2 linked regions of the Caenorhabditis elegans genome follow. The protein of the gene in region 1 interacts with the protein of each later gene in a pairwise test. Each region holds a gene or a part of one and is shown on either strand. Other genes may lie near its edges. The genes, in order: arrd-19 and unc-101.

The links.
Region 2: the proteins of arrd-19 (region 1) and unc-101 interact in a two-hybrid assay, tested with the Caenorhabditis elegans proteins (3 studies listed by BioGRID).

The regions. Positions count from the first base shown.
Region 1 is NC_003283.11:3,306,144-3,316,919, reverse strand, and holds arrd-19 (Arrestin C-terminal-like domain-containing protein), read left to right. Parts: upstream 1-1,678; 5' UTR 1,679-1,685; coding exon 1,686-1,870; intron 1,871-1,969; coding exon 1,970-2,075; intron 2,076-2,215; coding exon 2,216-2,378; intron 2,379-2,430; coding exon 2,431-3,246; intron 3,247-3,300; coding exon 3,301-3,446; 3' UTR 3,447-3,676; downstream 3,677-10,776. Other genes in the region: F35F10.1 (PAW domain-containing protein), read right to left, coding at 1-133, 217-341, 474-535; arrd-18 (Arrestin C-terminal-like domain-containing protein), read left to right, coding at 4,810-4,994, 5,114-5,216, 5,370-5,532, 5,695-6,456, 6,511-6,650; srbc-3 (Serpentine Receptor, class BC (Class B-like)), read right to left, coding at 7,231-7,374, 7,426-7,530, 7,577-7,678, 7,770-7,979, 8,061-8,280, 8,330-8,451.
Region 2 is NC_003279.8:12,506,712-12,520,520, reverse strand, and holds unc-101 (AP-1 complex subunit mu-1-I), read right to left. Parts: upstream 12,223-13,809; 5' UTR 11,967-12,222; coding exon 11,925-11,966; intron 11,871-11,924; coding exon 11,714-11,870; intron 11,033-11,713; coding exon 10,834-11,032; intron 10,235-10,833; coding exon 9,963-10,234; intron 9,739-9,962; coding exon 9,609-9,738; intron 8,575-9,608; coding exon 8,205-8,574; intron 7,719-8,204; coding exon 7,620-7,718; 3' UTR 7,101-7,619; downstream 1-7,100. Other genes in the region: K11D2.4 (C2H2-type domain-containing protein), read right to left, coding at 1,223-1,327; mter-4 (Mitochondrial transcription termination factor family protein), read right to left, coding at 2,065-2,175, 2,576-2,650, 2,888-3,088, 3,319-3,405, 3,806-4,001, 5,869-5,933, 6,071-6,159, 6,604-6,691 and 1 more; asah-1 (Acid ceramidase subunit beta), read right to left, coding at 13,010-13,219, 13,431-13,624, 13,788-13,809. UniProt on the Caenorhabditis elegans protein: Component of the adaptor complexes which link clathrin to receptors in coated vesicles. Clathrin-associated protein complexes are believed to interact with the cytoplasmic tails of membrane proteins, leading to their selection and concentration.

The sequences.
Region 1 (10,776 bases):
CTTGAACCATCATTGTTTACGTGTGAATACTTTCCAGATATTGGATCGTACCGAAACTCTACGTATTTGTCTTGTGAGTCGTTTTCCAACTGGATAGGCTCGTCCTGTGTTGCTAAAACCTCATGACTTGGTGCTAAAAATATCAAAATAGTTAACAAGGAAAGAATTATAATGTAAATTATTATTAAAATTTTGAAAAAGCAAACAAAAACTCACCTGCAAGATGGGAAGAAGGAGTAGTTCCCGACAAGGCAACGAGAATTGTTGCTGAAACTACAAGAGCTCCAATGAATGCGGTAGTTATTTTTGCGATGCTCTTTCCAGGGTGACTTGGTGGCGATCTTGAAATTAGTTGGGAAGTTGCAAGAAAAAAGTTCTGGGCTTTTATTATGATTCGGCTCTCGAAAATTGAAAATGAACGGTGACAACCATAGTATCCCGACACTACCCCAAAATAGCTTCAAAGAACTTACCCTAATGGTCCACCCAAAGACAGAGCAGAGTATTGTGCATTCGTAGGATTTTGAGAAGACATTGCCGCCACGAAAAGTGTTTAGAACGAATTTAATTCTTCTTATAAGAACTTCTCATCGCTCCAAGGTCAAGATCGAAACGACTAGTTCTCCGACAACAGGAAGTGGTGATATTTGATAGACATCTTGTGACAGGTTACAAAGAATTGAATCAACGCACACATTTTTAATAGATCAAAAAGTAGCACCGGATATGCTGGGTCTCAGCACGATATCAAAGGTCCTCGAAAAAACTCTCTGACTTTCCCAAATAAACCAAAAAACATGTGTTTCACACTCAGAAGAATGGATATAAGTCACTAGAAAAATGTTCCCCAAATATTTGAACACTTTTGCACCTATTTGGCGGCCACATGAACAGTTTTGGTCGTAGAATGCGATCTTAGGTGTCTTTTCAACTCTACTAGAATTTGTTCGTGTCCTTCAAAAATATCGTTCCGTGTTTCGGGAAACGGCAATTTAACGCACTTTTTTCTGAATGTTGGAATCACAGATCATGTTTTTATTTGAGTCGAAACGCAATATTCCAGCATAAATTATTTTTTTGGCAGAAACCAAAAAAAAACCCCACCGACCTTACTTCACTTTCCACGCCAAGTTGCTAATAAAGTTCAGTTGAGAAAATAGTTTTCAATGCTTTTTAATGTTATAAAAAATTATTTTTGTCACTGAACAAATTAGCACTGTATATTAATTGATCAAAACTATTTCAGCCATCTTTTTCTCCAACTTTTCTAGTTTAGAAAAACCTAGCCGTTTCTATTTCTCTGGTTGAATGGAAACCATGTTCTTTGACTTTCCGTCCGCTGTTCCCTTTTTTCTCTGCGGCTCTCAACTGGTCAGAGAGACACGGAGTGTGAATGTCCTTCACGATGTACGCCTGTGTCTGTTTGGTTTCTCTTGGCACGGAGCCAGCAGATATGTACGCAAACACTACAATTTACGACAAAATCTAATGCGCTTTTTTTTGCAAAATCTATGTCGATCTTTTTATAAAAACGAATAAGTTATTGTAAGTTTTATTTCAAGGCAATACTTTACGAAAAATTCTGTTCAATATCTCAGTATTCTCCGTTTCCATTGCGCTCATATCCGATTTTATTCCAGTTTTCTCATTCAATTTTTGTCTTAAATTTTCGTTTCAGAGTTCCCATGCCAGATACAGAGCTTCACGTGATATTCAATCAACCTGACGAAGTTTTCCACCCGGGAAAACCGATTTCCGGGCGAGTGGTGCTCTCAACGACAAAGGAAAAATACAAGGCACGCGCAGTGAACATCAAGATTTTGGGATTGGCTCACACTAGCTGGACGGACACCGAGAGAGTTCGCAAAGTGTGAGAAATTTTTAAATTTTTATAAATTTATCATTACTGCTGATAAGGCTGAAAAAAAAAGATAAAAGCTTTCAAAATTGTAAAATGATGATTTTTCAGTAACGCCGAAGGCAAAGAAACCTACGAGACAAAAATAGTCAACTACTCTGCAAATGTGAACTACCTGGACTATAGCTTGCTTCTGTGGGCTTCATCAGATGGATCGGTAAGAGCTTTGATACATTTTTGAAAAATTCGATTTTAACTTGTTGAACATATTTTTACATTTTTGAAACATTAAGTTACCCTAGTCAAAAATAGAGTTGTTCTATAGGAAAAATAGTTGTACCATATAAAAAATTTCAGAACGAACTGGCAGCTGGAGAATACGCGTGGCCATTTTCTTATACTCTTCCTATCAATGTTCCACCGAGCTTCGAGGGAAAATATGGATATTTGAGATATTCAGTGACAGCTGAAATTGATCGGCCATGGCGTGTGGATAAGGATAAGAAGCGATGCATCACTGGTATGATCACTGGAATAAGTAAGGATGTCTCAATATTTTCATGTCTTTTCAGTTTCACCATTGATCGATCTCAATGTCATTCCTCACGCTCTCACTCAAATCAACGACCAAGCAAGTGAGAATCTCGGTTGCTGTTGCTTCACAAAGGGATATCTCGAGCTTCGTGTAAACATCCCAAAAACGGGATTCGTTCCCGGTGAAACTGTCCCCATGAATATCCATATACTCAATCACTCCTCCGTACCCGTTACCAAAGTCAAGGCAAAAATCATTCAGCAGTGCAAGTTCATTGCATACCGAAACGGTACAACAGTCACTTATGACGGAGGTTACGAGACCAGTACGTCCGGAATGCTGCAGGAAACACAACACGACACTAGGACCGTTGTCAAGCAGGGTCTGGAAATGAAAGTGGCTCCCAGGAATGAGCACAAGTTTGCGATGGAGCTCCGTCTTCCGTCTGTGACTCCAACCATCAATCAGTTCTCCCCTGTGATTACTGTAGAGTACATTGTGCAATTCCACGTGGAGACTAGCACGACTTGTGGGGGTAACGTCGATTGTGAAATGTCAATTTTAATTGGAACAGTCCCTATCAGCAAATATCTTCCACCAGCCTACTACCCACAGGATCCAAATCTTCCGCCGAGCCAACCAACGCCAATTGGAGGAGGAGTTGCTCCGGCTGGAGTTGCTCCAGCTGGAGTCGTCCCACCACCAGGATATGGATTCTTACCAATGACTGATGGTACAGACAATGGAGCCGGAGATACACCATATCCAGTTGGTCCGCCTTATCCATCTGATGTGCCTGCTCCATATCCAAGCGGGGATGAGCCAAAAGATGGTACTGTAGTAGTCCCATCTGGTGAGTTACTCAGAATCATTGTATGTATTACTATTCAATTTTATATGTCTTCAGCTCCACCACTATCCTACGAAGAATCAATGTATGGAACAGAAGGAACCGAGCTCAATACTGATGAAAATGCACAACCATTTGCTCCAAAATATCCCGTATTCAACGATTTGCCTGTGTATAACCCAACGGCGCCACCTCCAGAGTAGCATATTTTAATATGAGTCTGTTTGCTTTGTCTTCGTCACATAATGTTCAAAATATTGATTTTTAAAGGATTTTTCTATATACTTTGTATTATTTATCCCTCGGTAGTAAGTTTTTCTTGTTTTTTTATGCATAAATTATTAAACTATGCACACATTACGAACGATTGAATAAAATCATAAAAAAATTTTGTGATTTTAATAAAAGTATATGTTTGATATACAGTGTTGTAGTGGGAAACTCTTATATGTATAACAATTTTCCCAACAAAAAGGAAGTATCGTTGAAAGTGCATCCAGTTAAGTAAGTCTAAAGATGGAAAATGGACATCACGTTTTATTAGAGTGGATAAATAAATGGAAGTTTAATTAACTTTCAATATGAGGGAAAATAATACAAACGTACCTATATTGAATTTCCTTATGAAAACTTTAGAGCATTTCTCAACAATTTTCCATGGCGGGTTCAATTCCCAATGATGATGATGACCCACATTCAATGTCAATAGAAACCATACCTGCAATTTAATTGCTCAACGAATTTGCTGTTCTCGAAATAGCCTTCAACAAAATGATCCACTCTCCTGCAGGTCTCCTGCATAAGTTTCTTATTTTCATTCTCTTTTTCTTTATTTTCTGACGTCCCTTTAAGTATTCTCTCTTTCTCAGCGCGCTCCTTTTACCAATTTATCATACACCAAGGGCTCGTGCACCCTCCTCGGCCGCACCAAAAAGGAAGAAGCTCGGCAAGAGAAGATGCCAAAATGTGTCCACACTCTGTAGGTCCACTCTGCGGCTCAACACATAAAAATTGATGCTTTTTGAAGATTATCTGATTGTGAGAAAATGAGCACTGCAAATTTCAAGTATTGTCTTTTATAAAATTCTTCAAAAATGTTTCTGTTATCTTTTCGACTCTCTCAGAAACCTATCGCTGTATCCGTTTCTTTTTCACTAGTTGAATGGAAAACATTGTTCTTTGACCAGTTCTCTTTCCCCGCTGTTCCCTCTTTTTCTCTGCGGCTCTCTATGGGTCAGTGAGGCGCGGAGTGCATGTGTCTGCTGGGTTCGTTTCAATCGCCTTTTCTCCCTCCGTTGCTCGCAAAAAATGTTTTTGCCTAGTCGTCTAATGCTTACCCTTTTTTGAAATTCAACTGTTTTGTTATTATTTTTTAATCATCAAATCATTATCATTTATGTACATTTTTCATTTCAAATCATATTTTTTACAAACATTTTCTGAACCTCCGAAAAAAGTGGAATATTTTTAAACCCTATGCTCAAATTTCTGTGTTATCTCCTCAGACTCTTATCTTATTTTTTTCCCCGAATTTCCTCATGACTTGTTCTTTATTTCAGGGTTATCATGCCAAAAACGGAGCTACTTAAAGTTATATTCGATCAACCTGACGAAGTGTTCTTCCCGGGACAGCCGATTTCCGGGCGAGTGGTGCTCACAACGAAAGAAAACTATAAGGCTCGGGCGGTGAATATCAAGATCTTGGGATTGGCTCACACCAGCTGGAAGAACTACGAAAATGCTTGCAAATTGTAAGGAATTCGAAAACTCTGAGAAGTTACATATATAATTTAATTTAGTAATCTTTATCGGCTGAATTAAAATTTTTAAACTTGTACTGTTTTCTCATCCAATTTTATTTAATATTCAGTAATGGCAGCTCAATCTCGATCCGCCCACGATCAATTCATTACTCCGCAAATGTGAACTACCTCGACTACACCCAGCTTCTTTGGACTTGCGAAGATGGAAAGGTAGGTATTTTTAAAAACAAAATAATAATTCTTAGTTTTATACACATAACTGTTTATTAAAAAACAAAAGTTTATCTACTTGGGTGGGAAGTTTGAGCTCCCAGCGAGACCCAGAATATATTTGAGTTCAAAATAAGAAACATATAATTTCAGAACGAATTGGCAGCTGGAGAATACGTGTGGCCATTCTCCTATACTCTTCCCACCAGTATTCCACCAAGCTTCGAAGGAAAATATGGATATGTGAGATATACTGTGAAGGTTGAAGTGGATCGGCCATGGCGTAAAGACAAAGCCAAGAAGATGTGCATTACTGGTAAGGGTTATGCATAAATTTTGGTGGAATAGAGAAATATACTTTTAAAAAACCGAAGTAGACTTCTTTCACAGAAAGTAGATTTGGTATCAGGCCCAAATTAAATCAGATTAAGCCTTTTTTAGCCACTAGTATCTTGAAAATTCCAAAAGTATTTTTCAGTTTCTCCATTGCTTGATCTCAATGTCATTCCGCACTCGCTCACTCAAATCAACCACCAAGCCAGTGAAAATATCAGTTTCTGTTGCTTTCAAGGGGGAATTCTCGAGATGAGTTTGAACATCCCAAAAACTGGATTTGTTCCCGGCGAAACTGTTCCCCTGAATGTCCATCTTATAAATCACTCCTCGACCAGTGTTAACAACATCAAAGCGCAAATGCTGCAGCAGTGCAAGTTCACTGGATACAAAAGTGGTGCAACTTACAATTATGGTGGTGATTTTGAAAGAAATGAAAAAATGTCCGATAAAATCCAAAGAATAAAGTTTGACACGAAGAAGGTCGTCAAGGTATGTCAGAAACTGGAAGTGCCTGCCAAAAATGAGCACAAGTTCGTGCTGGAACTCCGTATTCCGTCTGTAACTCCAACCATCAATCAGTTCTCTCCTGTGATTACGGTAGAGTACATTTTACAAGTCAATGTAGACGGTCTAGTTCGTTGCGAGTCGTCAATCTTACTTGGATCCGTTCCTATTCACCAGTACCTCCCACCTGCCTACTATCAACAGGATCCAAATCTCCCGCCGAGCAAGCCAACTCCGATTGGAGCTCCACCGCCCGGTTACGGACCTCTACCGACCGACGATTCCGAGAAAGGCGCCGATGCACCGTATCCACTTGACCTCTATCCTAATGTCAATGATGAGAAAGTTCCAAACCCAAACGAAGATCCGACCAAGGATGGCACTGCAGTGCTTCCAAGTGGTAAGTTGATCAGATTTGTAGCATTTATAGAATGATCACACGACAAATTTTCAGCACCACCGTCCTACCAAGAATCAATGTATGGTAAAGCAGGCACCGTGCTCGACGCCAAAGAGAATGGACCATATGTTCCGAAATATCCCGTATTCAACAATTTGCCAGTCTATAACCCAACTGCTCCGCCTCCAGAGTAACAAATTCTAATCTGAGTCAGCCTGCTTTTCGCCTTGAATTGTTCAAAAACACTTTGTTCGCTTTTTTGCCTGTATTTACTGTTTGTCCCCCGTTAAGTTTTGTTCTCAAATTCCCAATGCATAAGTTAATAAATTACTTGTTTTCGTTACCGCTTGCCTACTCGTTCCGAATTTCAATTTTAATTTGAGCTTGAAATTCCGAGACGCGAGCTCAAGCTTTCAACAGGTCCCAACAGATTCAGACTGTTTCAAGCCGCCGCGTTCGCTTTGCGGCGACCTCCGCCTGCCTCACGCCTTGGTGCGGCTCCTAACCCGAAAAGTGTCGGCCGCATAAAAAAAACCACCCTTTGGCACTATGTGGTGTGAATACCAAGACTTTGACTTCTCGTCATAGTGCAGAAATGAGCCCAGAGGCCGGCGTGAGGCGGGCTGGTTGGAGGAAGATTTCAGGCTTTTTTGAGATTCTTGCTGAACTCTTCAAAGCTCGCAAGTAGCCTGGAGTTATTTGGAGAATTATAAGCCTTTTTGGATGAAATTGATGAAATGTCAGTTTTTTATAGAAACTAAAGGGTTAGAATGTTCACGAATTTCTCTCATTTCGATTAGTATGCGTTACTATTGCAATACTTGTTCGAGCGCTTCTTCTCTTCAAAATATTCAAAATAAAATATGATTCTACTGCACTTCCAACAAGCTTTATAATATAAACGTATGGGCCAATATTCTGCAAAAAAATTAAGAAAATATATTACTGAAATGAGGAAAGCCACAAGACCTTGAAGCTCGAAAATGGAAATTTAGGAAGAACATAATTGGATACTGTTGGCACAAAATCACATAGAAATACGTTGGCAGCGTCGACCAAGGCAATATGATTTATCTGAGATTCTAATAGTGTTACATCTCTACATAACAAGAACATTTACCTTTGAATGCTCACTGTTAGCATGATGACCCAGTGATTTATCAAAAATTAGCAGTCTTGTTGAGAGTAAACCGGAAAATGCAATGTTAAAAGCGAATATCACCTGAAACATGGAAAAATCATTCGAATGATTCTTCTTTTATGCCTTCTGCTTTGTCGAAATTGATTTTGGTCTCTCAATCTCAAAATATTACCGCTCTATCAGTTGTCCAAAAGTCGAAATAACAAGGATCAACTGAACATCGCAAAACTCCACAGTCTGTTGGCATTGCGGATATATTCATAGTACAAAAAAGGTACATAAGAAGATTTTCAAACATTGACAGGCTAATAGCCAACATCAGAATAATTATAGAAGGATATGAATCGCGATACTTATGAAACATAATTGGGGTGTAAATGGCCTGAAACTTGATCTCAGATGTCCCTTTTTAAACTTTTTTTATTTGAAAAAGATTTTTTAAATATAAAAATTGGATTCTCACCAAGACCCTTTCCAGAGAAATCGCCACAGCCACAATTGATCTCATAGCTCCTGCAGTTTGGAGTGGAAACCCTATATAAAGAATAAAAACTTGCTGCTCTCGGAGCTCCACAGTAAAATATGAATACAAAATGCAGAACGTCATATAGGCACAACCCAGAGCACTGTACGCCACGTCGAGAAAGAGGCGGTAGAAAAAGAGAATCATATTCTTACGAGTTCTAAATTTTTTTTATTTTCTGAATATTAATATGGCTGAGCTCAACTAACTTTACAGTCATTTTTATAAAATAGACGTTCATAACTGTTGTGTAAACAGAAGAAATCACCCCAATTGATGTTACGAGCACAGCGGGCACACTCATCAGAGGGCCTTCTTCAAGAGATGTCATTTTGTTAACTAAAATATAATTTATTTTCGTTCTAATTTATATCTTACTATTAGACTATAAGTTGGATCAAAAGTTGAACAAAAAATCATGCGCCTTTCGGAAGGCTCAAAAAGAGACCAAATGTTTTGTTTGAAAAGATCTGTGAAAAAAAAATTGGTCTGTAATTACACCTTCTTTATCAAAACTTATTTCTAATAGTAAGCTTTTTCAGTTGTCTGAGTTATAATTATTATGCTGTTACCTTTTTAACAAGTTGTGGTGGATGTAGGGAATTCACAGATACCACGTGCCTCTGATGGAGAAAAACTGAGAGAATTTAAAAAAGGGTTAAGATATATGGAGGTATTTTATTAAACACAAAAAATAAACATTAAGACCGCTTTTGTGCCATTTATACCCATAAACATGTTACGTTTGGACTCAAATAAGTTTGATCAGTCGTCGGGTACCTCTATATTTTTCATAATCACGCAGAAACTAGAAGCCGAAAACAAAGAAAAGAAAAGAGCGAAAATCAGAATGTTTTTTTTTCAATCCAATTTCCGAGTAACTCAGCGCCGGGATTATTTAATATGGGTATTTGTCAGAATTCTCGAATACCTATGAAAAATTATAGAATTCTGCGAGCACAAGTAAATACGTTCGCAGATTGAAATGGCGATTTCTGAAAAATATAATTAGCACCAACTTTTAAAATGGGACTTTAAGAATTTAAGAATATTAAAATACTCAACTTAATCTGAAATTTCATTCAGAAGCTTAAAGTTATTTCTTTCTGAAATTACAGTAATCCTACAGTCTCCTAAACTATTCCAACGGTGACATTACCGCAAATCGCCATGTTCATATCTCCCATTTCACAATTTACAAGATAGGAGACGCTAAAGATCACAATTATGTTTTTGTAGCATTCGATCAGACATCTCGCAAATGAATTACTTTTTGAACTCTTTTTTTTTTTTTTTTTTTTTTTTTTTTGTTTTTGTCTGTTTGACCTTGGGATACAACTGAATTCTTTTAGAGAGAACTTTATTCATTTTTTCTATTTTCGAGAAAACTATATTCGCATTCGAGAAGTCTATCTCTTGTGAAAAAATAAAAGAAAATGTCTCCACAAGACCCTGTGTATTCACAAAACGATCCACTGTTGGTAGGCAATTCAAATAGGTATGTCTTCATTTTTTGTTTGCATCGAGCCCTTGGATTACTTGCAAAGGCCTGGGCTAACAAATTTTTGGTTTTCAGGTAACTTAATAAGATAATTTTTATATAATTTTAAGATCACAATCAAGTGATCCTTGGAAGACCATTGCTAAGATAGCTACAGTAGTCATTGGAATCCTGTTCGTAACATCGCCAATTGTTTTCGGAGTTTCCGGAGTTGCTGAGAAAAATAAAGAAAGCAAACACGGTAAGAACGGGGAATTTCTGTGAAAGAGTAAAGTGATTTATGTGTTCAGGTTCTCTTGCGAATCAAACATCTGCGAATAATGCAACGGAAGAAAATACCCCTAGTGAGAATTTACAAAGCTATAACTATTCTGATGTAGTCATTTTCAGAGAATTATTCGACATCATTCACAGAAACGAAAAAGTCTATTATATTGAATCAAAAAACGGATGGAACAGTCACAGAATACGCAACATTTGAGTACAACGTTACAAGCGACGAGTACTCACGGCTCAACAATGATGGGACAAAAATTCAACCATGGCTCGTGAAGAATATGGAACGAAAGGTCAAGTTTTATTACTTCAAAGGTTTCCCCGTTAGAAAGACTGAATTTATACACAAGATAAAACCAAATGAGGACGGATTGGTACGTTTTCCATTCCGTTAATTCATTGGAAAGTTTGCTCCAGATTTATTGGAAATTCGAATTGGTGGACTCTTCTGAAATGTATGTAGATGAAGTAGCGATGACCATGTATAAAATGTATAAAATTATCGACAATAAAGGAAAAGCAGAAATGTGTACCGATGATTCTCTAAAGGTTAAAAAATCATCCTAGCTCTTTTAGTTGTTAATTACAGAACTGCTCGGATATTCCGAAAGATGACGAATTGATGATTCTTAATCCAAAATTCAAAACGTTTTTCATTGGTGTAAGTTTGCAATAGATTTTTGAAAATGAGCTACACCTTACATAATAGATGATTGCAGATGAAGATGTCCAAAAGAGAAGATTTTACTGACACATATTGGTTTGACACAAGCGAGATGGGCAGTTTTTCTGTAAAAGTCAGTTCACGTAAGTTAAGAAATGCTTCTCGTTATAGATGTAGTTTTCGGATTTTGTTTTTTTTTAATGTGGACTACGCTA
Region 2 (13,809 bases), on another chromosome or scaffold:
GTGTGAAAGCACGAAATGAGAGCAAAACATGGATAGAAGGGGGGGACGGCGTCCTGACGATGACATTCAAATGTTTCATGAACAAAAAAAAAGCGGCGGGACATGGCAATCGACCGGTGACGAAATCTGCGCCGAGGCATCAAGGATCTAAGCTTTTTAGGCTTTTGGAAGCATACAATTCTTCGTAATAGGCGCTAAGGATTCTGCAACTCATGGAGCTCGTGGAGCATCTTAGAAACTTGTCAAGGTGTCTAGGAGTCCTTAACCCTCCGAGTGAGCTCAAGAGCGGTATCCATCCAAATTCCAGGTGCTCCGTGGATTCTTACAGGACAGTAGGCTCCTGGTTGGAGCACAAGTCTCAGAAGACTTCTAGAAGTTCAAAAGCATCTCAGCTCAGCAGTCCCTGACAATCCAGGCGCTACGAAAATTAAATTTTTCGAATATTGTGGTTCTGCGGCTCTTGGAGATCTTTGAACATCTCAGAAACTGCTCACGAGCTTCTGAGTGACTCCGGGTGCTCCTGATCCTTAAAAGACTACTGAAAGCCCGAGGGCCGAGCAGAAGGCTCAGTGATCAGCCTCACAAGTTCTATTGAAATTCGTTGTCAAATTTCTTGATTCTGCAGCTCCACGAGCTCCGTAGGGGTTTCAGACTGCCAGAAGTTCCCAGCTCACTCAGAAAGCTGGAACGATCTTCGAACATCCGAATTTCCCAAAACTCGGCTCAGTAGAATCTACGGATCTTTCCAAAGTATAGAGCTCTCGGCGAGCTCAGTCATGGTGCATCGACATGTCACAATCATTTTGTAGTGCAAAACTCACTTGCACGGGCGGTCCTAGCACCGAAAAAAGAGCACAAAAAGAGCACAAAGAAGGTTAGAATTTTCCGCTTTTTTTTGCCTTTTTTGCAAAACCGAATGGAACATGAGAAAAAAAACGGGGAAAAAGGGAACTCGTCGTTCCGTCGTTTTTTTTCGCACACAATGTTTCTTATTTTTCTTCGTTTCCTTCTTTTTTTGGTGGAGGAAAGCTGGAGATTTTTTTGTTGTTGAAGGGACCCTCGGGTGAGAAATCCCGGTGGTTGCAAGCGCGCTCTAATGATAACACCTTCACAGTGAACCGAATTTCGGGTCCCGTCACGATATGCTTCAAATTTAAAGGTGCTTAGGGCATGATTCTTGGAATCCTAGGCAGCCGAGTGTATAGTTAGGCCATCAGTTTACCTGTTGCTGGTGCATCATCAGCTCTTCGAACCAGGGAATCGAAAAATCGTGAAAGTTTTGCGAATGTACGCCGCTTCTCGGATCGTCCGCAGGGTTGGTGAACATTTCTGTAAAATATTTTTTAAAATTAAATTTACAAATTCGTGGCCTATAATTTTACATGATGGCCTAGAATATTTCAAACTCAATTTTTTTGAATTCCTCGCGCCGAGACCTTTCATTTGAGTATAATAATGTCCTATGCGTCTTTGAACTGAAATTTTCGTGGCGAGACCCGGAATTTCGTGACGAGACCCAAAGGGGGTGGAGCCTAGGCCTGATGGGTGTTATTCGAAAGGTCTCGGCGAGCTGAGTACGAAAATGATACAAATTTTGAATTTCCGCGAAAAAATATTCTTAAAAATCGAAAAAATCAATAACTCACCCTAAAAATCAATAATTTCTCGAAAGTTGTCCGTCGGCTATCGGTGCATTTTTCGAGTATCTCCCTGGGCTTTTGATACCTCAAAAAGCTGAAAATACTGAAAAAAAATAAAGAAAAATTCTCAAAAAATATTCAGGGTGGGAAACCTGTCGGAAATTGAGAAAATCGATAAAATTTTGTAAAAATTAAAAAATTTTTCAACAAGAAAACTTAAAAATCAATGGAAAAATCAATAAATAACAAGGAAAAAAATGAATTATCGATTTTTCGGGAATTTTTCGAAAAATCAACCGTCTAGAGTCAAAAATCTCCGAAAAACTTGAAAAATCAATTTTGCTAGGTATAAAAACTACCGGAATCTATCGAAAAATCAATAAAAATTAACAAAAAACGAAGGGAAATCCGTGAAAACCGGGTGCTAATTTCCATGGGAGACGTCAAAAACGTGCTCGGCGAGCTCCTGACGCTCCTTGTGCCGTCTTTCGTAGGCTTTTCGTTTTGACGGCTTGATTCGTTCGAATTTTCGTTCCTGGAAATTGCAAAAAATTTAAAATTTCTGAACTTTCCTAAAAAAAATTTTTTTCCTTGGCCTAATTTTTTACATGGTGGCCTATAAAATTCGCAACATAATTTTTCAAATTTATCGCGGCGAGACCTTCAATTCAAGTATAATCATGTCCTACTGTTCCTTTAAAGGACACATTTCGTGGCGAGACCCAAAACTTTCGCGGCGAGACCTAAAATAGGCGTTTTTGGTGTCATTTTGAAGAGCTCGGGGAGCCTAATATGAAATTGTGAATTTTTCGCAAATTATAAAGGGAATTTGAAAATTTTGAAAAAAAAATTTCCAAAAAATTTTTTTTTTTCAGATTTAAGAAAAATTTAAAATTATTGATTTTTTTTCCTATTTTCACACTAAAAAATGTTACTTTTTTCTCATTAATAGTTTCCTTGACACGCAATGCCTTAAAAACGATCCATTCCTCCATTGTGACCCGGGCGACCTGAAAATGTTGAATTTCTGAAAAAATTGGCATTTTCGGGGAATTTTTTATTTTCCGCTCGGAATTTTTAAGTAAAATTAACACAAAAATCGATAAAAAACTAAAATAAATTTGTGGAAAAAATCGATATATTATCGATTTTTCTCCCAAAAAACCCTATTTCTCGTTGATTTTCCCCAATTTTTCACAAAAAATTCTCAAATTTTCAGCAAATTTTCCAAATTCTCATCTCCTCACTTTAACAGCAAAATCCTCCTCCTTACTATCCAAAATGCTCTGTAATTTCGGATTTTCGATGCGAATTTGGGGCCGTTTCGCGTCGGGGGTCGCGAATTTTCCGGTCGCCAGCAGGAATTTGTGGCGATCAACGATTTCGTCAAACGTGAGAATATCGATCCAACCGATGCATTCTGCCACGTCATCAGCTTCAACGCCCATCTGAAAATAGCGAAAAATGGTTGGAAACCGACGATTTTAAGCCAAAATGGTTTACGTGGCCTAACTTTTCAGCTGGTGGCCTAGAAATTTCAAGACCTAAAATTTTGAAATCATCGCGTTGAGACCTTTCATTTAAGTATAATCATGCCCTACTGTGTCTTTAAAATGCACTTTTCGTGGTGAGACCCAAAATTTTCTCGCCGAGACTCAAAAAGTGGGCGGAGTCTTACCTGATAAAACATGTACTCATACTTCTCCTCAATTTCTTCAATTGGCTTTAGCAAAATCTGCGGGCAACGGGAGATGAGATGACCGGCCTGTAAAAAAATTTTTTTTTTTTTTTGAAAATTTGGAAAATTATTGATTTTCGCAAATTTTAACTGAGAAATTCGGATTTTTCAGCCAATTCTACCTCTAAATAAATATTCGCTAAGCTCCTGGTGTTGATTTTCAAAATGTCGGGTTACGGTAGCGCCAAAAGTACGCAAACACCGCGAGGCTCACGCAAAAATGCACAGAAATTCAAAACAACGAGTTGAAGCTGGAGAAAAACGCTTATAGGGGTAAAAATAGCGCAGGAATTCGAATTTTGCAATGAAAATATGCAAAAGCTAATGATTTTTGAGATTTTTCGGGGAGAAAGTGGGGATTAGGGCTATAAGCGGAAGATTAAGAAGCCATTAACTATAATCTTTAGATTAAAAGTTGTGCACTCACCTGCTTTCTGGAGAAAAATCCACCAATCTCGTGAGCCAGTCGTTGCATTTCCTGGGGGTCCCGGGCGAAGAGCAACGGTGGGCATTTCTTGATTGCCGAGCCAATTGTGCGGGGAGTCGAGATACCACAGGCGGAGAGAGCTTCAATGTTTTTGGTGATGCTGGGGGATCCGTGACGGAGAAGATCGTCCGGGAAGCTGGAAGCACGAAAGATTGGCTAACAGTTTAATTCGATTTGGCTGTTTACACGGAAGTTGAACTTTCGAAACGAATTTCAAAAAAAAAAATCGCCGTAACTTCGGAACCATGAGAGCCATCAAAAATTTGCCAACTTGAAAAATGAACCTCAGTACATAAGGTAAAAATGTTTAGCTGACAAATTCCAGCTAGCACCAACTGCTGATAAGTTATCGCTGCTTGAACCCTGCGAGTGCCAAAAGTTGGCGGTCTTTAACTAGTCATAACTCATCAGCATTAGAAGTTAGGTAAAAATCGTCCACTAACAAATTGTTCCTTATATTCTAAGGACCAAATTGTTAGTTGAAAACTTTTCGATAGCAGCTCTAGTTTTTGAGATATAAAAGTTTTTCTAGACGAAACCGAAAAACTCCCGTATCTCCAAAACTAGAAGTGCTACCAAAAAGTTGTCACCTGGAAAACGAATCTTCAGAATATAAGGAATAACTTTCCAGTTGACAATTTTTAACTAACATTAGTCATTGAAAAGTTATCGCTACATGAAAACTTCATGATAGGCGAGTGCCGATACGTTGACGGTCTTAAACTAGTGATAACTCATCAGGATTAGAAGTTAGCTGTAAATTTTCAACTAACAAGTTGTTCCTTATAATTCGCGGAACAAATTGCTAGTTGACAACTTTTCGATAGCAGCTCTAGTTTTTGAGATATAGAAGTTTTTAGAACACTTAATTTCATGGCGAATTTTCAGTTAAATACGTTGAAAACCGATTGCCGTTGGCCGAGCTCGTGGTGTCAGGCTGTCCCATTACGGTTTGATCTACAAAAAATGTGGGAATATTTCCCCCAAAAAAATGTGACGTCAGCACGTTCTTAACCATGCTAAGTCAGCCGAGAACTCTGCGTCTCTACTCCCGCATTTTTTGTAGATCTAGGTAGATCAAACCAAAATGGGAACTTCTGGCACCAAGTGTTTATTTCGGAATAACTTTTTTCAGACTTTTCTCTCGGAGGCCCAACTTTTGTGACACAAGATCCACAAAAATGTAACTGATAAATAAATTATGAAGCGAGATAGAAAAATTACGTGAAAATCATAAAATCAAATAAAATCGCGCGAGCGAAAATGTGTGAGAAAAATGAATGGATTTTTGATGATTATCGTCCTCGTTGTCGTCGCATCTCCAGCGTTCAGGGCGTGTAAAAGTGAAAGTTTCATAGCGAATCAAAAGATAAAAGTGTGAAAAAATGACTGTAGGAAAGGTGTGAGAAGGGCGAGTTGAGAGTATGATTAATTACCCGTTTCGTGTCGTCCGTCGTATCATCAAAAATATTGACGAGACCAACTTTTTCTCCAATTTGGGAAACTTTAGCGAAAAAAATTTGGGATCTCAAGGTATTTTTACATGACACCCCAAAGCCGGGGGCTTTTGATGGCCTAACTTTTCACCCAGTGGCCTAGAAATTCCAAAGCCTAATTTTTTGAATTTGCCACGTTGCCCTATGCGCCAGCTTTTTAAGCTCCAATTTTTGTTGCAAGGCCAAAATTGAAAAAATCGTGACCTAACTTTCTACCTGTTGGCCTAGAAATTTTGAAACCTAATTTTTAGAGCTTTTCGCGTCGAGACCTTTCATTTAAGTATAATCATGCCCTATTTCCCTTTAAACTCAAGTTTTCGTTGCGAGACCCAAAACTTTCGCGGCGAGACCCTCCCTAGGCATGATGGGGGTCATTCAAAAGATCTCGGCGAGCTGAATTTGAATTTCACATTCTTAAAAAGCCATATGGAAATTTAGGTAAATAATTTTGAAAAATACATTTTTTTTCCTCAAAATATCCGAATTTTTTCCAAAAAAAAGACTTACAGTGCCAAAAGTCGAATCGCATCCTCAAAAGTGACATATCCAACATTGACAATCGTCTCCAAAATCTGCAAAAAACAAAAATTTCTCATCTTATCTCAATTATCCGTTCTTATCAAAAATTTCCGCGAAATTTCTCCCCTCTCTCTAAAAATTTTTTCCCAAAAATAAATTGGTTTTTCTACAGTACCCCATCCAAACGTACCTCCAGTGAGGCGCCAGGCTGTGAGACAATTGTACGGAACAGTGTGGCGTTTTTTGTGTTCGCATCCAGCAGAAATTCGCATTTTACACCTGAAAATTGTGGGATTTTTGAGGAAAAATCGATAAATGTCTGAAAAATCACTGAAAATTTGATTTATTATGGTGAAAGATGGCTTTAAATTAAAGAAAACTACGTTAAAACGCTCAAAAATATAGTTTAACTCAAGAATTTGAAATCCCCGCCAACCACATTGCGCAAGTGCGCTCCATGGATAAAACAGCCCAAAATCAGGATTTTTGCGAATTTTCAGACTCAAAATGCTTGAAAATCGTCTGTAAAAACATAAAATTCGCCTAAATTCCGTGTTTTATTTCAAAAATTTGAATTTCCCGCCGACCACATGTTGCAAGTGCGCTCCACGGATAAAATGCTTCAAAATCTAGTTTTTTTTGTTTTTTCAGAGTCAAAATGCTCAAAACCCTCGATTTTTCGTTTTTTCAAATTTTTCACTAAAAAAAATTAGCAAAACCTACCATTTTCCAAAAGTTTTTCGAAAACTTTTGCCGATTCCTGTCTGGCAAAGGAATCTCGACCGGGAATCACAAAATGTGTGCCAGTTTTCTGGAAAAAATTGAATTAGAGTTGGAAATTTGAATTTCCCGCTAATGCAAATGCGCTCCAATGCAAAAAAAAGTCCAAAATTAGGGCAAAAATTCAAATTTCGCGCCATAAAAGCGTGATGCAAGTGTGCCCCAATGCTAAATCTTCAAAATTTTCAAATTCCCGCTTTGCCGAACCTTCAAATCGTCCACAATTCGATCCATCAACGCATTTGGCGCAAAAGTCCGCAAAGTGTCGTCAGATGTGGTGCATTGACGCGAAAATGCAGAAATTCGCAAATTTCGACGAAAAATCGGCAACAATCGGCGCATTTTCTGGCAATTTTTTGCATTTTTTTCAGTGATTTTTCTGGAAATTTAGACAATTTTTGAAATGGAATTTTTAGCCCCCGGAAAACATTTTGTAAACAATTATGACAGAAAATTTATTGATTTACTGAAAAAAGGAAAACGGGAAAAATTGATGAGGATCCATGTGGTGAGAAAATTATGCTGGTGGGAAAGGGAAAAAACTCGTTTTTCTGGAAAAAATCTAAATTATGCGATAAAAATCAATAAATAAATCGGTGGGAAAAATAAAATAAAAATTTTCGAACAAAAAAAAATAGAGTTCGGGGTCATCAGGGGAAAGAGCACACACAACACATGTTTTGAGCCGGGGAGCAGCTCGCGGAGCATTAAATTTTCACAGAAAAAATTGGAGATGTTTGACATTAAAAGAGGCAAAAATTGATGGAAAACGGGGCCGTGGCCTAGGATTTTCGAAAAGTTAGGCCACCACTGGAAGCATGGTGGCCTAGACCTCCAAATTTTCCAAAAACTCGGCCACGGTCGTTTTTCACCAATTTTTCATAAAAAATTCCAAAAATTAAGAGTAAAATTGGGAATAAAATACAATAAAATATGAATTTAGGTAATTTTTTCAGGAATTATTTCATCCGCATCTCGTATTCTCCATTTTGAGTAATGTAGCGGACCCACGGCAATGCTTGATATCCACTTTTCTCGATGATTTTCAGATAACGGACCTGAAAATTTGAAAATTAGGGTTTACTTGGTGGAATTTATGGGAAAAATTGAATTTTCAAGCCTTTTTTTTAGAAGATTTTATCACCCTTAAACACCAAAAAATCACATAATTCTCAATTTTGAGCCGTTTTCTCCGTGGAGCGCACTTGCAATATGTGGTAGGCGGGAAATTTGAATTTTTGAGTTAAAAAGTCAAATGTTAGGTTTTTTCGAGAAATTTGCATCATCTTGACGCAAAAAAATCACAAAAATCTGCATTTTGAGCAGTTTTATCCGTGGAGCGCGCTTGCAACATGCGGTCGGCGGGAAATTCAAATAATCTAGTTGAAAAGTCGGATTTTTAAATAATATCATGTGTTTAAATGAAATTTTCAGCATTTTAGAGCGAAAAAATTACATAAATCTCAAAATTGGGCAGTTTTTGGCGGTGGGAAATTTGAATTTTTGAGCTAAAAAGTCGAATTTTAAGCGAAAAATTCGGCTACCTGAATGCCGCTGGTCGTAAAATACGGAATTTCAAATTTGACTTTAATCGGCGGCCGTCCTTCAGACTCTTCACTCATCACAGACGGTAGAGATAGATGGGCGGTCAAAAGGTACTCTTTTCCGCCGGGAAAATTCTTAATAGTCCATACGAAGGCCGATTGCTCGGGCGTATACTTCACCGAACCGATGCTTGTCTTGAATTTCGGTGAATCAGCGTCCGACGGGACTGGAATAATGATTTCCACGTTATTAGCAGTGGAGCGCCGTTTGAATTGTGATTTCGCTTTGATTATAAACGAGACACGGCTGTGACTGTGACGTTCGATGCTTGTCTCGATCCAGATCAGCGGCTTCACCACGGTTGTTAATCTGAAAAAAAACGGTATTTTTCGAGAATTTTCAGGAAAAATTGGAGCTTTTTGAGGTAAAAATCGAGTTTTTCGACACAAAATTGAGGCATGGCCTGACTTTTTACCTGAAAACCTAGGCCACGCATGTAAATTTGCTTTTTTTTTATTTTTCAGTGTTTTCAAGCTAAATTTGGCCTAGTGATCAACTTTTTAGACTCAAAATTAAGGTGTGGCCTAATTTTCTACCCGAAAACCTAGGCCGCAGGTGTATTTGACTTATTTTTTAAGAAAAACCAACAATTTTGATCCAGACACACAGTTTTCAGCAAAAAATAGAGTTCGGCAACGAACTGATCAGTGGTGGCCTAACTTTTGCGAGAAACTAGGCCACGAGTGGAAATTTGCATGTTACGTGTTCCATTTGTTACAGTTTTAACGTGTTTTTACAGAAAAATCGAGCTATTGTAGTAAAGAAGCCGAGTTTTTAGCCAAAAAATAGAGTTCGGCCATGAATTGGCCAGTGGTGGCCTAACTTTCTTGTAAAATCTAGGCCACGTATGCAAATTTGTATTTTTCTAGAATTTTTCATGTTACTGAGCTCTTCTTCGTCTGAATAACGAGTTTTTTGACCTAAAAGAACCCAAAAACAGGAATCGGCCTTTGGTGGCCTAGTTTTTTCCGGAAAACCCTAGGCCACGTAAGCAAATTTGTATTTTCTACACCTTATAATTGTTTTTCGAGCGTTTTTGGCATAAAAAAGCAGAAATTAACTCGAAATTACAACTCGGCCACGAACTAGGCTATGGTGGCCTAACTTCCAAAAAACCTAGGCCACGTGGGTAAATTGGCATTTCCTAGGATTTTCTGGCATTTTCAGCTTTCAAATCGAGTATTTAAGCCAAAAAATAGACAAAATCAAACTTCGGCCACAGATTAGAAGTCGGTGGCCTAACTTTTCGAAAAAACTAGGCCACATCACTGAATTTCCGTCAAAATCATGCGAAAAACTCGATTTTTCGGTTAAAAATCCGATTTTCTCCACTTTTTTCGTACCGATAGCTCATAAGCTCAAATGCTCCGTCGGGCGGTATGAAGGAGATCGTTCGATCCGTGTCAAAACGCGACAGGCGTACACATTGATGAAATTTCACGTCTTCCAGTTCCACAGATTTGCTTTTTCCGCCTGAAAATCGAGAATTATCAATGGGGCGCGATTGTAGCGGTAGGAAGTTTGAATTTCAAGTTGCAAACGCGCTCCATTGCAAAAATTTAAAAAAAGTCGCATTGGAGCGCAATTGAAAAACGCTAAAAACTTTAAAATTGTTGAATTTTAACAAAATTTTATCGATTTTAGGGTAAAATTGCCTGAAAAATCTCAATTTTCGCATAAAATTCGAAAAAACTCACGTCCACTGCCCTCAAAAAGTACTTTATCGTTAAGACCCAGCCGAAGTTCAGGCATTCCGGTAAGATAGACACGCATTTTAACGCTTCCAACAATTTCCGATTGAAGTACGGTACCGTTGGCGCTGGCCAACATGTTCACACTTTCGATTACGTCCAGGAAAACCTCGTTTTTTCGGTATTTTATGCCTTCAGAGCGCCATGAGACGGCATTTGTCACTGCCATCGGGGGACGGGGTGCCGAAATTAGTTTTTGACCTTCTTGTGTGATGTATCTGCAAAAAATTGGGGGGTTTTTTGATTGAAAATTGAGGAAAAATCGATGATAATTTTGCACAAAAATTCAAATTTTCGAGTCGAAAAACACATTTTGAACAGGAAAATTGCGCTCCAATGTGAACTTTTGCGATTTTTGCATTGAAGCGCGTTTGCTGCATGTTGAATGCGAGAAAATTGAAATTTTCAATGAAAATTCAAATTTCCCAGCTGCAACCGCGCTACAGTGCAAATAATCGCAGTGGAGCGCGTTTGCAAATAGAAATTCAAATTTTCGAGACAAAAGACACATTTTGAACAGGAAAATTTGAATTTTTGAATTCCCCGCCACTGCAAATGCGCTCCAATGTAAATTTTTTGCGATTTTTGCATTAGAGCGCATTTGTGATTGGAAATTCAAAATTTTAGGGTCGAAAATACATATTTTGACCCAAAATTTAAAATTACTGCTATCGCGCGCTGCAAATGCGCTCCAACGCTAATATTTGGCTATTTTCGCATTGGAGCGCATTTGCAGCAGAAAATGAAACGATTTTTCGTGCGGGAAATTCGAATTTTTGAGTAATTTTTTTCAATTTTTCTCGTTTTTCCTCCTTACTCTTGTAGAATTCGACTCTCAGTCGTCTGTGGGAACCCGAAATCCATCATTTCGTCCAAAAGTTCATAGATAACGACAAAATTGTCGCGAACCGACTCCTCTTCGACATCTTTGAAATATTCGGAGAAAACTTCGACGCATTTGTACAAAAATGACAAAATCATTGTGACGTTGACGTTTGAACGGCATGCTGAGACCACTGAAATGAGGGAAATTTGAATTTTTGACTGGAAATTCTGGAGAAAATGACTGAAAATCCGTTAAAAATGGGTGTTTTATCATTGGAGCGCGCTTGCACCCGCTGTCGGCGGGAAAATTTCCGGAAATTTACAATTCTGGCTCAAAAATCGTGAAAATATGTCGAAAAAGTGTGAAAAATGACGAATTTTTCGCAATTTATCGACTTTCTGGCAGAAAAGCTTGATTTTTGAAACAATTTTGCTCCTTTTTTAAGATTTTTACCACATTTCAAATAAACTACAAAATGGAAAAATTACGAAAATCGCAGTTTTATTGATTTTAGTCAATTTTTACGAATATTCGGCTTTTTTTGAATTTTAGCACTCGGGAATTCAGAAAATCAAGGAATTTTTGAATTTTTCTGACTTTAAAATCAAAAAATTGAATTTTTTTGGGTTTTCCGTTATTTTCAAGGGATTTTGTTACTTTTCACTGTTTTTCAACTCATTTTTTAGTTTTAAAACGTTATTTTCAATTTGAAAATGTTAAAAACCACAAAAAATTGCACTTTTTATCGGTTTTTGGCTTGAAAATTCAAATTTCTGACCAATTGCGTCATTTTCAACGGATTTTCTTCAATTTTGCCATTTTTCTATCTAATTTTTGATTTTAAATTCAATTTTTCACACAAAAAACCCACAATAAATATTTGTGTGCTTGATAAACACGAAATTCGTGTCCTGATAGGTCAAAACGGGCGCTGCCGAGCCTTCTTCCTCTTTTTCCATGAGTAAATGAATGAATTTATCGATTGCCGTCATGTCGATGTCTCCGCGATAATTTCGAGAAATTATCGTCTGAAAAATGCGAAAATTGGCATTTTCCGACGTGAAAAACACTAAAAAACTCACTTTTCCCTTCAAATCCAGTATAAACATGGCGGAAGTCGCCATTTTCGACGATTTTTTGCGATTTTCTCGTTAAAATCGTCAAATTCCACGTGGCAGCTACTGGAAAATACTGAAAATCCGGAGAAAATTAGCGGAAAACGGAGGAAAATCGAAGAAAATGAGTGCAAAGATGGATATCGGCTGCTGGCGGGCACGCCCTCTTGCAGTCTGCAGTCTCTTCACTTTATATACTCTCTCGGCGAGTGACGGAGCGGCAGCAGCGGTGCAGGAGGCCTTGGAGACGGATTAATTGGATGGAAAAGGTGGAGAATTTGGTTTATAGCGGTTTTTTCGCGAAAAAATGGAGAAAAATACCGAATTTTGCAAAAAATCGACTTTTTCGTCGGAAAAGTGCAAAAAATTAAGTGAAAATCGACGAAAATCGGTTAAAATTCTATTTTAAAAATTCAAAACTGAAACCAAGGGAGCAAAATTTAGGTGTGCGCCTTTAAAACTACCGTACCTTATTTTATTGGACAATAATGACAAAAACTGGCAATTTCCGCCAGAAAATTGAATTGAATAATTTGAAAATTGAATTGAAATAAAAAAAATTTGTGTAAAAATACTGGAAAATCAGTTTAAATTCATTTTTCTAGTAGAAAATTCCACAAAACCACCAATCGCTACGAGACTCAGAAGAAATATTTAGGCATGCGCCTTTAAATCTACCGTATCCCATTTTTAATAAAATTGTGACGAAATTTGAATTTCAGGAGGAAAACTTGGTTAGAAACGAAAAAACGACGAAAAACCATAAAATTAGCAAACAATTATTTTTTAAATGTAAAATTCCACAAAAAGCAATAACTTTGGTAACCTCGATAAGTTTCGGTGCATGCGCCTTTAAATCTACCGTAACTCATTATTTTTTTCCAGCGGGAAAATTAAAATTTTTAATTTTTGTTTAAAAAAAACCAAAAAACTCTAAAATTTTTAAATTTTATGAAAATTTCGTTTTCAAACAAGAACCCATCAAAGTTTATTTACAAAAATGAAAGTTTATTTCAATGAATCATTGCGTATATGAGAATGTTGAATCCAATCTACCATGGATAGCATTCTCCCGGGCAGGATTGAAGGATGGTCTCGAAGCGAGAAGTCTCGACGGACATGAGGACGGTGTAGGTGGTGAGCTTATTCAGGTTGGTGCGGGATGACAAGACGTTGAAGATTCCCTCGAATCCGACGTTCTTCTGGGTCAACTTGTCCATGCAACGGAATCCCGGAGTGTCACGGTCGTCAAGGTAGAGGTCCTGGAAGAGGGAAATGTTGGATAAGTTAATTCCGGATAGGTTTTGACAGATTTTTGATCAAAATTTCTAGCTAGGAGTTCGACCCACTCAAAAAAAGAAGCTGGGTTCAAAATACTAGACCTAGGCCTAGAGAAGGACCTCTCCTAAAAGTTGGGCCCCTAGATCCGTCTACCAGAACCTACTCTACACCTTCAACTCTAGCATCTCTCACCTCGGTTCCCTGATCGTAGTTGGTCTCCAACAGGTACCATCCGTGTGGGGATGTGGCCATCTCGGTGAGAAGTGCGGTCTTGTCGAGACTTCTAGCGATGATGCATCCCTCGTCCTTCTTGGATCCTCCGAGAATGAAGTAGACTGGTGAGAGCATTGGAGTGTTCATCAAGTGCTCCTTGGCGTCGAGGTAGGCTGAAAGCTCGGGATATAGAGCCTTTATGGATCTCAGACGGATCTAGCCCAATGGATATTAGAAGCAAAGATTAGGGACACTTGAATCTAAGCCTAAGCTTCCTGGAAATCAAAGCTTCCGAATTCTAAGGATCTAAGTCATCAAGAAAACAATTCAACTCACTGGTCTTAGTCTCGAGGGTCTC